Drosophila melanogaster: one gene and its partners. The gene in region 3 interacts genetically with the main gene of each other region. Each region holds a gene or a part of one and is shown on either strand. Other genes may lie near its edges.

Evidence for each region. Genes that interact genetically often act in the same process or in processes that back each other up.
Region 1: of Clk (region 3) and shn, changing one suppresses a phenotype caused by changing the other (phenotypic suppression), as found in Drosophila melanogaster (one study listed by BioGRID).
Region 2: of Clk (region 3) and nmo, changing one enhances a phenotype caused by changing the other (phenotypic enhancement), as found in Drosophila melanogaster (one study listed by BioGRID).

The regions. Positions count from the first base shown.
Region 1 is NT_033778.4:11,171,938-11,176,844, reverse strand, and holds the start of shn (schnurri), read right to left. Parts: upstream 3,043-4,907; 5' UTR 2,071-3,042; coding exon 2,040-2,070; intron 1-2,039.
Region 2 is NT_037436.4:7,977,085-7,982,087, reverse strand, and holds the start of nmo (nemo), read right to left. Parts: upstream 3,043-5,003; 5' UTR 2,915-3,042; exon of another isoform or gene 2,579-2,914; 5' UTR 2,408-2,578; intron 1,689-2,407; 5' UTR 1,270-1,688; coding exon 1,106-1,269; intron 1-1,105. Other genes in the region: POP4 ribonuclease P/MRP subunit, read left to right, coding at 3,483-4,103; CG8209 (uncharacterized protein), read right to left, coding at 4,419-4,761, 4,818-5,003.
Region 3 is NT_037436.4:7,772,561-7,777,415, reverse strand, and holds the start of Clk (clock), read left to right. Parts: upstream 1-1,812; 5' UTR 1,813-1,920; intron 1,921-4,855. UniProt on the Drosophila melanogaster protein: Circadian regulator that acts as a transcription factor and generates a rhythmic output with a period of about 24 hours. Oscillates in antiphase to the cycling observed for period (PER) and timeless (TIM).

The DNA.
Region 1 (4,907 bases), on a different chromosome or scaffold from region 3:
GTTTCGGCCCAGCTACCCAACCTCAAAGATCAAACTCAAACTCAAAACCCAAACCCATACCCATTCCTATTCCCATTCCCCCAACCATACTCAAACCCATACCCAAAGTCGTCTGCATACCAAAACCAAAACCCATCGGCAGCTGGAAGTCAAGTTGGAGCCAAACTCTTTGAGCATGTTGCGCCTGCTACAGTGGGTACTCCATGGAAGGACGACTTTCATGTTAAAGGTTTGATGATTTTGAAATATATTTAAGAAGTATTTCAAATAATCTCTCTCCAAGTTGCCAAGTATTTTCAATTGGTCATGGTTTACAAAACAAAATGGTTGAGTTAAAGTCTCAACAACATTGTTTAAAAAGTTAAGTTGTTATTATTGTTATTAAAACAATAATATTTCGAATATAAATATTTATAACATTTCAGCATAATTGGTTTAAAATGCTATAAAATAGTTTTAATATATTTATTTAAGAATGTTATATTTAATTACTGGTTTATTGTTTCAAAAGGCGAAATAAAACGCTCACGTTGTGACATATTAATTAAATCAAGTTCAATAAAAAAAAAGTGATTGATCGGATTGAATATATTCAATTACTGGTTGCCTAGTCGGTTTGGTTTTGAAATGAAAAGTAAATTCATTTAAAGCATTTAGCTGCAGCTGATGGAATGCGCACTGTATCCGCCCAGCGAGCAGTACTTGGCATATATCAAAAGCCAGGCAGCACACTTGTATCTCATTTGGCAAAAGTATCTGCGGATGTCGCGGGTTGGGGCGGGCACAAGAAAGTATCTGGCTTTTTAATAGGTTCAAATTGTGGCATGAGTAACGCAGCGCACAGAGCAACTTGACTAACAGGCGGCGTGACGTGACGCAAAGTATCTCGGCTATAGCGATTGTGGATGTGCAAGTCGAGTATCTGTGACTGTGCGCCTTTTGTATCTGTATCTTTGTATCTGCGTATCTGTGAGCTAGGCTGCCTGTTGAGCGGGTGAGCTGCGCCAAAAGTTCATGACGCTGGCTGAGCTTGATTTTCAGACCATTTTACATGGGGCAATTCCGATTGCGACTGGCTGGCAAACAAGCTGCCTTGTTTGCGTCTGTTTTTACGTTTTTTTTTTCTTCTGTTTTTCAGCTTCTCTGCTTTTCACCCGCTTTCTGTTTTCCTTTATTTCAGCTCTCTGTTTTTCCCCCTTTCTTTTGCCCATTTCGTTTGTGTTTTTGTTTTGTTTGCCGCTGCCCTGTGAGTGTGCGTTTGTTTGTGTGCCTGTTTGTTTGTTTGCCTTTTGTGTGCGCTGGGGGATTACGTAAGGGAATCCCCAACATTTTGCAGCGCGCGCGCCAACGCAACTGAATTAAAATGATAAGGGGACTGTGGGTGGTTGGGCGTGGGCGCAATGCAATGAAAAGTGACTACTGACGCTGTTGTTTCATGTTTTATGCATGCCCTCCCTCTCTTTGCTCTCGCCCCGTCCCTCTCTCTCTCTCTCTCTCTTGCGAGTGGAGCACTCATGGCACACAAATAATAATGCAAAAAAATATATATCTTATAGATACAGCCAGAGGTTTCGAGTGGGGGCGTGGCTGAATACTACATACATTCTTAATTACATATTTTTCCCTTTGAGCCGCCAAGAAAAAATCACTGCACTTGACGAGATTCTTTGAAGCTCTGAAGCAAGGACTTACTGTCTTGCCATATGGCAGCTGTGAAACTCGTCGTCCTTGAGCTGAAGCCCAATTTTTTTAAGACCGCTGGAGTTCTTTTAATAATCAACAAACTACTTGGAGTGAATTTGTTATCAAGAACAAAGCAGTCAAAGTTCGATCTTATAATAGAACCACTAAATATAAAGATTCCAAAGAAAAGTCAGCATAGAAATTGTGGATATTGGGTCCCTTTTCCTTGTAAACACTTTATGGAAACGTTTGCAAAATAGCTTAAAATCCTTGAGAAGAGGCAATTTCCCGGAATTTCGCTGGCATATTTTCGAACTCACGCTTGATTTGAATAATTAACAGGAAAATGTACTTACTGCCTCGACCGCTGCCCTTGCGTCGCGCCATTTTCCCTGCTTCAAAGTTGGTGTCCCGTTTTGGCGCTGTCCGCTGTCCGCTGTCCCGTTGTCCTTTTGCACAGAACAATACTGCTGGAAATTAGGATCCTTGCGCTTGACTGATGTATATTTAATCAGAGGCCGCCTACCCGCTGGCACGCCCACTTGCGACACTGGTTCTGGTCTGTTTGTATGGCACAACAGCAACAAAGCTTGTACGTGTGTCGACGTCCTTGACGCACACAATGACAAGCGTCCTTGTTTGTCTGAGCGTATGAGCGCGCGCGTGTGTGTGTGTTTGTGTGTGTAAGCGAGTGTATGGGTGTGTGTGTGTGTGGCCTGGTTCCCGGTTCGCTGGTATTTGCCAACTAGACAAATAGAGGAGCCATGATGTCCAAGTCCCTGGTATTATCCTGATATGCCGCTTGCCTGTCGACCTGGTGGAGATTGCAACCCGCTGGCTGGCATCGCTGCTATCCTGCCCAAGTCTCAGTATCCTTGGTTGCTGTAATTGTGCTATATAAATCCATGTAGGCGTATCCTCTGCTCGCTGTGTAAAAAAAACCTCAATTCGGAAATGTTCGGTTTGATATGCCGTTCCTTATTTTTGTTGTGGTAGGTTTTGTTTGATTTGTATTACTTTTGACAGACCCTGCGTATACGCAATATTCGCAACTAAATCGCGCGCGCCGCGAATTCTTTCAGTTTTATGTGCTGCGTGTGTGTATGTATGTACACTCCTTATCAACACTGTTTCATCCGAGGGCCTCACTTTATTTCATATATATTATATATCTCTTTCGAAATATGCGCTATATGGCTGTTGCGGAATCTATTAATAAAACGGACATGTTATTCACCATGCGTTGCGATTTGACTTGATTTGATTTCGTTGCTGGCTTTTTTGCGCATTTACCGAGAAGTGCGAGAAGCGCGCGAAAACGAGAGGCGTGCGTCGACGTCGGCGTTCACGGACAAACAGAGCCAGCGAGAATCCGTTAGGCCCCCAAAAGCCAAAGCCAAAGCCAAAAGCCCGAACGCCAAGAGCACACCCAAAGTGAGCTCTCTTTTGGCGCACAAATGAGAGAGCCAAAGAGCGACGTAAGTGGCTTTCAATTCGACCAGCCGTTTCGTTTCAATCGAAAATCGCCTTTCAACTTGTCTGTTTACCTTTTTTCTTTTCCCACTCACAGAGCAGCGAAGAGAGTTCGCTAAGAGAGTCGCCTTATCAGTATTGTGTGTGTGTGTGTGTGTCCAAAGCTTAAATGCCAATAGCAGGAGCTCCAGATGATAAGCGTTATTTACTTGGCTTACCTGCGCTGTGATAATACCTGGGTTGTCTGTTTTATCAGTTTGCTAATTTACATTTTTAAGATTATCCACACAATTGATAAAAAGGTAATACTTTTCTAAGCCTAAATGTATGCAATATCAAAAAACAACATGGTGCTTCAGTGGAAAAGCATTGATTTAGGCGATTTGATAAATTAATTATAAGGAGTTGCTAAAAATATAAACATGTCATTATAATATATTTTAATAATCATAAACTTGGTGGGACGAACACACAAACCTTATAAACTAGCTGCTGCAACTCGCAGCGAAAATAACGAAGATAAACATTTAATTCATGGTTTAAAAATTATTCTAAATTATAGATGAAGTTTGATTCTAAGATATGTACTCTGTTGAAACACATTTTAATTACTGCACATAGAATCGTATCCATTCCAATGATAGTAATGTTTCGACTTAATTTAATATTCATATGCATAAAAATAGCAAATTCGATGAATTAAATGAAGACGTTTAAATGAAGGCGTCCTATTCTTTGATACAGCCATTAATGTTTCCGATTCATTTAAGGCAGACACTTTGGGCCCAGTCGAAAGCTGTTCGAGCCGCAACGCCTCGTAACGCCTGGTGTCGAAAGGCTGAAATAATGCGGCTTCAAAGGAAATTAAGTGCTGGCGAAAATATGTACATATGTGAAGAAAAGAAGAACATATCGCAGAACATTGGCGATGGCGATGTCAAGTGGATGGGATTTTGGCTGACAGCTGTGAGAATTCCCAGCCAAAGTGACAAGTAAAAGGCGTGGCCTTGAGCCTCATTTGCCAGCCCCAAAACGCCAACGGCCGCCCTTCAATTTAAATTCATATGGGAAGATATACGATGTTTGGCCTAAACGACTTTCAATAAATGTGGTTTGTTTCTTTTAAGAATTTTCACAAATCATTGATATTTATTAGAGCCGCACGCGTGACCACCCTAATCACATCACTCATCCTTATGTTCAGAGTTAACCCCCCTGCACCCCCCCCCCCCTGTGTTATACTATGCTCCATCGTCAATGAAAACGAATATATGTACTATGTTCGAACAGCTGTTCTTTGTTTACAATTGGCGCAGGCGCCCAATTGGAAATTGTTCGTGTGCGTGTGTATGTTCGCCCGGCTAGAAGGCCTTCCAGTTCCAGTGCGAAAGCAGTTCGAAACTGGAAGCTGGAAGGAGGGGAAATTCGTGGTGCCGAACACTTTGGCGCCAAATGAAAAACGTCCGTCGGAATTTCACTTGCAGTCGGAAAATAACAGAGCGCGTGAAAGGATCACAGTGCGGATCAAACAGACCGGTCTGTTGAAAAGTCAGGGAAATCCAGTTGAAAAACGAAAGTAACAAAATTGAAGAAAAAAAAAAAATTATTTACAAGCTGCCTCATAAAAATTCCACACATCGTTTCAAAAAAGTGTGTTTGCTACATACTTCTATTCTTCTATCTAAACAGAACCATTCCAACCAAATAAGCCAGCAAAAGAAATAAAACGCAAATGTGAGTGCCATAAAAAT
Region 2 (5,003 bases), 200 kb from region 3:
AAATTGATAGGAAGTCGAGTTAAATAATAAATAGATATGATGATTTCATATTGCCACCTTTTTTTGTGCTATGTTAAAATCATTTGCTTGATAGATTTGCAGCTTTTCGGTTACATTGATAACAAAATGTTGCTAATCCATATTAGATATTTTACTTTACCCAGTAAACAAACAAATATTCAATGCTCACCCCATTTAAGCAACCATTAATGTAAAATTTTGCACACAAATGTAAATCAAAAGAGTCGAGGGGATAGAAAAAAAAAAGCAGAGAGAGGCCGATAAACGAGGAGATGGGCAAATAGAAAAGTCCAAATTGAGGGGGGGGGAGGGAGGCCAAAACACGGAGAGCCAGCCAGTCAGCCAGCCAGCGCGCTTAGGGTAAGAAATATATTATAGGAAAAATCCACCCTCGGGGGGCCGCAGCAACGTTGAAAACTGCACAAAGGCACAAAACCATGAAGGACAGCTAGCTGAGACCCGGGACTGAGGTTCTGAATCGAAATGAGTACGAGGATGTTGACGTTGCCCGCTGCACAAAACATCAACATCAACAGCAGCAACACAATCAAAAGGGTTACAGAATCAAAGGCCTAAGCAGAAGGTTGCTGAACCCACGGCGAGACCGTGACATAAAATCGCACAGCAAAGTAACGACGCTGCAGATACCCTTTCTTCGAATAGAACAAAGACTTTTTCAAGTCAAAGAACAACTGTTTAATCTTTAGATATTTGAATTATAAAAGTACATTGACAGGAGGGTATTAACATTTGGATTCGAAGTCGGTCTTACAACTTTTTAACCGAATGTGTTTATAATGAAATCATTTACAAATTATCATTACATGAATTCTTTAAGGGGCACAAGCATATAATAGGATATGACGTTAATACACCCTTTTCTGCATTCTATACCACCTATTGTCTTATAATTCTCAAATATAATTGCCCATTTCGGCGGGATGTCTTTGGACAACCAGCAAAACAACCCGAAAATAACCATGCTTGCTAAACCAAGAAAAAATTTGATTGTACCAATACTATGGCAACACCCTTCGCCCATAATCTGGATTATTGCACTGAGATATAGAATCATTATACTTACCAGACAACTCCGAATGCTCCATAGCCGATAGGACGATCCGGCTGAACATCCTGGGGAACAGCCGGCGGTTGATAGTAGGGAGCCGCTGCGGCCAAGATTGCGCTGGCGCCCTGTGGCGCACCACCGGCAGCACCACCCTGTACCAGTGACATCGAAACGCTCATTGATGGACTACGCGGCAAGTTTTCCAAATAATTCGAGCAGCTGCACCCGGTTCTGGTATTTGTTGGCGATGGAGCTCAGTGGTTGTGGTCCTGCTAGGCTGTGGCTTTTACTGGTGGTGGTGGTGGTTTCGACTGGGTCTTGGACTGTGGTTCTGATTCCCAAAGCTGTGACGGCGGTGGTGACTGAGGTGGTTGAGGTGATGGTGTTGCTGGAAGTGGTGCTTGATTTGATGTGGGAGAAATGGTGTTGATTGCTCAATGGATGCCGCTGGGGCCAACTGATGGCCGCCATTCAATTGTTGGCCATTTGTTGCTGTTTGCCTTGGCGTGCTCCTCTATTCAGCGCTATTTGTTTCGCTGCGTGTCGCTTGTTACACTTCTTACTTATTTAAATTAGATTTGAGGACATTGTGATGAAACTGCGGAGTGAAGTGGATAAATAATCATTTGTAGACAGTTGAATTGTGAATAATTTAAACGTTGCTAACAGAATTTACAATCTTGATTTATTTTCACAGTACGCAAGAAAACTATTGAGAATTGATTTCCTATTCGACCACTAGTTACTAGTTACCACTAGGCTCAATATTTTGTATATTCTGTAAAAGCTAGATTTAATTTAATCCGGTTTTGGTATTATTCACTGTACTTTAATTGTCGTTACTTTTGTTTGCTTTTCGAATTTTTGGTGGCAAATGATGCTGCACAGGAATCAAAAAGAAAGAAGAGAGGAGAACAGTGAGAGAGAGCGCGCGAGAGGACATGAAAAGTGCCGTTAGCTGTCGCGACCGGGGCGCGTCCGTGTATTACAATTGTAAGTGTGTGCGCATGTGAGTGCGATTCTGAGTGATTTTCGGACTGCGCTGCCTGCGCAAAAAGCCGCTCAAAAGACACAAAAATCACTTAAAATCCGACTTTTCATGCAAATTTACAAATGTTGAAAACCAAACAATGGCGAGCACCCCCAAGTCGCCAGAAAATGAACGCAATCAAAAAACGCTCGCATGAAAATCGAAAAGTAACGGGACAAAAGAAATTCGCCCGGGGATATGTAATATTTCCCAGGGTTTCGCTTAGCTTTCCGGACTAATTAAACCTAACCTATGCAAACAAGACATTCCATTTCACTTTAAATTACCTTAAAAAATGCACAAATTATTGAGCAGCGGCGGTGGCAGTTTTTCGTTTATAATTTCTTTTCTATTTTTCTTTTTTTTTTGTGTTTAACTCTTCCGCCTTTGTGGGAGCGAGATGGAAGTAAAACGCGCCGGGGGTAATATTCGTGCGTGTGTGTGTGAGAGAGAGTGAACTAGCGGGCGAGACGGAAACAATTTTGTAATTTTGTTTAATTATTATTGTAAATAACGCGAGATGAATTTTTTGTTGTTTGGCGTGTTACTACTACTAACGCGACGGCTGCTCACACACACGCGCATACACAATCGCACGCACGTTTAAACTATGTACATGTATATGCAGAGCCAGACAAACAAACAAAATTTTGCCTGGGTCACGTTTCTTGGCTCTCTCACAGCTTTTTTTCTACGGTTGCCCTTTATTGCATTATCTTTGTTATCACACGGGCCGCGGGGCGTGGCTAAAAGGGGGGCGGGCGGATGTTGGTCGTCGGTTGGCGTTTGATTACCTCGCAGCTTCCCAACGAATGAGCCTAACTTGGATTTTCGATCACACGCGGCGACGTTTGTTTCAACGATAATTCCGAATTCGTGCGCTCGACGTTCCGCTCCGTTCGAAAGTTGAGAGAGACTTGAAACATATGTTCGGCGTTGCTAGAGGTGGTCGGCCACCGATAGAAACATCGATAGGTCCGATGTTTTCCACTCGTATATTAATTCAAGGTTTGGCTATCGATGTTTTTAGAGTGCCCGCACTATATCTATTTCCATCTCTATTTCGTTGGTATTTTTTGTATTTTATGACATTTCAAATGCAAAAGCAGGATGGCAACGCCAGATTGCCCCGAATGTACGTTATTTTTAAATTGCAGCGTTGAATATGAAAAATTGCAGGTACATACAGTTTCTAATAATTAATAGCAATAATTATTATTTAGCTTGTATTATACGAAGTGCACATGCAGCTATGCATCTGAAAAAATAATATTAATATATCGCCTTTTCTTCCATCGATAGAGTTCCGCGCCTATCGATATATTGTTGATCACCAAATAAATAAAACTAAATAACAACGCAATGGAACACGCGACAAGTGAATTGAGGGAATTTATCTCAGATCTGGTGATTCCGCACCAGCGTTGCAATGTTAACATCAATCCGGATCACATCACAATGCTGGAGGGCACCAAGATCAAGAAGCAGCACTCCCGAAAACGTCGCGCCCACAAATCCAGTACGCTGAGTCGCCGGGAATATGCGGCACTTGGTTTGAACACTCTTCCCACCAAGCAGATGAAGTACGAGGAGGCACTGCCACTGCACCACCTGTGGAAGGGCTATGTACGCGAGCATCTGGAGCTGAGGGAAGGTGACGAGGTGCCCCAGGTGCACGATGCTCGCTACGACGAGTTCAGCCGCAAGTTGGTGAAACTGGACTTGCACGGTGCCAAGATGAAGGTGCTGCAGTCCAAGTGCTCCACCCTGGAAAATTTGGCTGGCATCTGCGTCATGGACACCAAGAACGTGCTGAAACTGCTCGGCAAGGACCATCGGCTGCGCACAATACCCAAGAGCGAGTGCGTCTTTGGTATGAAAGTGGGCAACATGGAGTTCACCATATTCGGGCAGCACCTCAACATTCGACCCGCCGAGCGAAGCGTTAAGAAGATCAAGAACTTTGTGAAGCCCTTCATGTAGGAACTACAGGACCAATCATTAGCCATAGAAATTGAATCCTATTGTAATTTAAGGAAAAAAGTTTATTGGAAAGTTAGCATCGCTTTTCAATAGAAATTTAATAATTGCCCTCAAAGATCCTCTAAAACTTTACTTGTATTTGAGATTGTTGTGTTTAATATATATATAAAACCGTACATTAATTGTTTTTCTTGTTTTTTTTTTTTTTTTTTGGGGGGGGGGGGGTATATTTCGCGCCGCGTTTTTTTCGTATTTAGGTTCTAGTTTATGGGAGAGATTACCCGGATTCAAATATATCCAGTTTGTAGGAAAGATTTATGCGGGCGTCTTGGTCATGGTGATGACAGCGGATGGAACCAAGCCGAGCACTTCCAGCGGCTTCTCGTAGTCGTCCTCGGCGAACAGCTTGCGCGGAAAGGTGGTCATCAGAGAGAAGGGCGACTCGATGCCGGTCTTCATCTGGATGAACACACGTACGGCGGACAGCTGCTCCTTGACGTTGAAGGTTTCCTGTAGTGTTGAGCCATCCTGCAGGCGCACCTGGATGCGGGTTTCGGTGTAGTCTCGCGGCGGAGATTTCACACCGGCCGGTGGTGACGAAACTGTGGTGGAGCTCACGGATGGAGCTGGCTCTGCGTTGCCCAATTCCTTTTGTTCTCTGCATACCATGAATTATAATGAATTATGAAGTGGAAGGATAGGGCTAATCCTTACCTAGCCTTGCGTGCTGCCTTGTCCGCCTCAATTTGAGCCTTTACCCGATCGCGGGCCGCCTTCTCCTCGTCCTTTTCGCGCTTGCGCTGCTCAACGATCTTCTTCATCTCCAACTCCTCCATGCGCCGCTTGGCCTCGGTCATGTCCTTGCCGGACTTGATGCGATTCTTTTCCCGCTGCAGGGCT
Region 3 (4,855 bases):
GATAGCTTTGATATATCTTTGTAACATTAGCTAAAACATCTTTGTCTTTGATTTCTTCTACTTCTAAGCCGCATACTCATTTTGTTTATTCTTTTTAATCGTTCAAACTCTCCCTATAAAGCAAATCAATTTTAAAAACAAAAATTTGCTTTATCAGTCGGCACATCTTTGTCTTTGTAAATATCTTTTTACGGATAATCCATAAATTATATGTACATTTTCTACGCTAGTTATAGAACACGAATTTAATTTTCAGCTCAACACAAAATAAATAAATAAATCAACATTTTTTGTCAACAAAATATTTATGTAATTTTATACAAAATATACACGAACGTCTAAATTAAATCATCGTGTATTTACGTTTAGACACTAAATACAATACAATCCCAAAATTTGACATTATTTTTGTGTCTACTTTATATGAAGAAATTATTACATAATTCTATATGAAACAAAAAAAAATTTATAATATTTCTAAAATTCTTAAGATCAAATCAACAACATATTTTCTCTGTGTTTTTTGTGCTAAATTTTTTTTACTGGTACTTCTTAATTTAATAATGATGTAAAATAAAGAGGAAAACAATTAAAATATAAAATAAATGTGGAACATAACTATGGTTTTTCTTTTAACTTATAAAAGTGGTTGATAAAAAAAACTATTGAGTTTCAGTTTGACAACAAAGTAGTTCTGACTACACCTCTGCATTGCTGAATAGCTACATATATACATCCTGTGCGTTGCATAAACCTATAAAACTTTCAAATCAAATCGAGAAAATCTTGTAAATTGCAAATCGAGTGCTGAAATGTTACGTAAGCATCTAATAAATATCGAATTTCTGGTGCAAGCGGTTCGCGATTAGGCAATCATGGAATAAGAATCAGAATTATTAGTTTTCTGTGCTACCTTTGCAGAAAGTGAGGTCGTAGTGCTAGATTCGGAGCTGAATTCCAATTGAATTGATTTTGAAGATAAAATACGACAAAGGAATCAAAGGTAAGGGTCGTGGTTCACTATTGAATTCATACTAAAACTACTTTATATATGAAATATTTATTGAAATATGAGTTTGCATTAAAAAGCTAATGCCGTAGTGCTTTGGAAATTATTTGTGTGGATTAACAAAAGCTGAAATGACAGTTTGGAAGTTCTTTTATCACTTTCCATACTATAAGACAATTTAATTAGTAAAAGTTTACATTAAATTAAATGATTAAATATTAAAACAGTTTGTTTAGTTTTAACTTTAAATTATGTTTAACTTCTCTTATTATTTCAAATTATATTTCAGTTCGCCTCACGTTGCATGAAATGCACATATGATCTGTTAATGTAAGTTTATAGACATGAAGCAGTATAGATAGATCAAAAGATAGTTAGGGTATGTTGCACCACCTACCTAGTTTCAGTCTATGCCGACCTATAGTCAAAAACTCACCCCTGCCACAGACCTTGAACTTAAGTCGCGGACAAACAAAACCCGTTGAATCACCCCTGCGAGACCCCCGAGAGACCCTTATATCTGTAATCTCCAGACGGAATGCCAGAAACACGCGGAATATTGGACAACAAACAGAAAGGTTGAAAGAAAACTATATAGAAAAGCTATACTATCCGATCCGAGAGAGACCCTCTGAGCAGAGTGGCTCTGAGCGTGCTGATAGTTTGATAGAGCGATAGATAAAGACTCAACTCAGGTTCACGATCGGTGCAATTGAGTGATATGGCGGATTCTGAGTGTGGAGAGCATATTAAATAATAGCCGAGTGGCGGTGCTCAATCAGTCAGTCAGTCAGGTAGAGCTGGGAATGCTTGCACATATCGCGTATACGCCCCGGCCGGCAAAAGGCATTACAACAGACTTGTAGACCGACTGACTCTCCCGACCGATTCGGTTTCGTATCTTTGTATCGGTGAGAACGCTTCTGGGGACTCGCTGCTCACATTTCGATGCATTTCGCGGTTTTTCGTTTATCCACGGGCTTTTTGCGTTTGTAGTTTTTATTTTCGCCAGCTTAGAACTTGCAATTCTCGTGCATTTATTCAGTTTGAGTCCAGCAAGCGCAGCGTCAACGAGCGGATCTCTCTCTTTAATTTTCCGATTCGGGTTTTCGATTTATTCGCATTTTCTCCGGGTTTTTTTTTTGAGCGCGCAGTTATTGTTTTATATCGCAAGTACTTGGCCGATCTGAAGCAAAGTCAAGCCGTCTGCCGTTGATATTGTCTCTGCCTGTAACTCGATCGCATATTACACACTTTTCGCCTTTTCGGTTCTGTTTCGGATTTGAAGGGGAATAATATTTTTGTTTGTCTCCGTCTTTGCGCTTAATTAAATTGCAGCTTTCTTCCTTGTTTCTGCTGATATTGCCAAAAAAGTTTTTTGTTTTACCTTTTACCATAAAAGAAATTAAAGTGTTTTTGTTATTGGATATCGTTTTCTATATATTGGCGTATATATGTCACCAAGTGCAGAAGTATAAAAAAAAAAACGCGCAAAGCAGAACGGGAAAAGTTATTATGTAACTTTTAAAACACTCGTGCCATAAAAACAGGAACAAATGTGGAATAATTCTTGAAGAAACAAAGTGAAAGGCAGAGGAAAAAACAAAAGTGGATAAGCCGCCAAAGGCAATATATGGATAAAAATAAATAGTTTAAATAATAATGGGCGTTTTTAAAAAGCCAAATAAAAAAGTGTAGTTATATGTCAGTGATGTTGCAATAAAACACAAATACAAGTTTTCACAAGTTAAAAATTGATCTTAGTTAAATACTAAAGTAGTAAAGTTTTATTTAATTGAACAAGTGCATCCAAACTAATGTAGCTAAGATTCAATTTCGAAGTAAATTAACTACTTTACCTGCTAATTACCAAAGTTTTGCGCCAGATTCAAAAGATTAAATTACAAATCAGCTGCGGCAAAATTGTGAAGTGTGCAAAGCAAAAGTGGAGGAAAAAAATAAAAATAATAAAAGCAAAAGTGCATTAGGTAGAACATCCGCAGTGACAAAAATAACAGAAGAAAAATGCCGCGCCAAAAAAGATAAGGCAAACCCAAGGATGAGATACGAGCGAATACGAGTGAAGATACTTCTCGCTTAAAACAAAAGTGCATTCAACCAAAAAAAAATTGAAAACAAACTACCTGTGAGAGCGATTTTTCCACATACATATAATAAAAACTATAATTTTTTTAAAATGTCTTTAGATTTGGAAAGGTATTTTAATAATGTACTCTTTATTCGAATTTTGAATGGAGTTGTGTCGTTTGTTTACTCTAAAAGTTGGATTTCGTACCCAATATTAAAATAAATATAAAAATTAAAAAATATTTTTAGATATTGGTTTTAGTTTCATTCAGCAAGATTGATTGGATATTTTACGCAGTACACTATTTTCATTCCGGTGAATTCAAGATAAATAATATTGTTTGTAAGTTTTGCTTAATTACAAGAATTTCCAGTGGCTGAAACTAGCTAGGTAATTTGCTAGTCGCTTTGCAATCCAACTATTTCCATTTGTTTTATTTAAATTTTTTTTTTTTTGTTTTTTTTATTGTTGGCTGACAAGTCTCAGGTCTCGGATGTGGCGTCTTTTTGAGTTTTTGAAACGTCATCGTCAGCGTTTGACTGCCCCGAGTATCTGTGTGCGCCAGTCTATCTGTGTGCGTGTGTTCTGCTGCAATGGTGTGAGTACGCGTGTGCATTTGTGCAGTGGTGTGCGATCATGCGGTAGTCGCACACGCTCTCAGTAAAACTTATTTCAATTGACAACTAAAAAAACTATAGGCACATGCAAAAAGGTTTTAAACATTACAAGTGATACAACTTCGATTCTTGTTTTTGCATTTAGTCGAATAAATGGGGCACAATTACGAAACGCTACTTAATTTAATCTGCAGTCAGCTGCACTTTCTGGCCATTTTCGCTCTGGCTTGCAGAGCGTATACTTCATTTTCACTTAGAGCAAATATGGCTAGTTGTTGATACGGTGAGATAAGCAACTGATTGACAACTACTCCAGATCTATTTTTTTTTTTTTTTAACAATATTGAGGTAGTTGGAAACAAAGAACGAAAACTTAAGGAAAGCCTCTGGGTCGTTTTTTAATTAAAAGAACTTATAGAAAAATGCACTTAAATTTCTAATGACTAAAAGTTAGACACCCTTCATTTATATCAAAAGGAATAACCTAAAGAGAGCAAAACTTTGGACTGAATAAGTTTAACCTAATGAATTTTGTAATGGTATAGTGAGTTTTTGTCCACTTAAATGAAATCAAGTTAGTTTTTAATTAGTCGGAATTTAATCGATACTAAATAGAATTCATTTAAAATTTCCCCCTTAACGAAAATATTATTCAATTTCAATCTAAACATATTAAATCATTATAAAGATCGATTTATGTGATGAACTGATGATTTTAAGCAGACTGCTAATGATTCAGATACGTCAATTTATTATTAGATTGTTAAACGTTTAGGGAAAGGAAAATCCAAGATCCGTTTAGGGTTCTGTTTATAGAACAACAACTCCATGCTGGAAAACCACATAGAAGTATACCCCTTGAACACTATTAACGATGAACTCGGAATTGGTAGATTGTAATTAAATCCCGTCTCGGTAAAATAAGGGGGAACGAACGCCGACGAAATAAATCAATGAATGACTAGAGGTAAAAATAAAATAATAGTGAACAATTTAATTAAGTCAAGTTTAAGACAACAAACGCTAGAGCGCGACGAAAAGTATTACAAGTTTTGCGGAAAGAGAAATAGAAGGCGAGGAAGCAAAGTTGTACAACGGGTCGTATGAGTATTGGGTATTATCACTCACACACGGGCACTA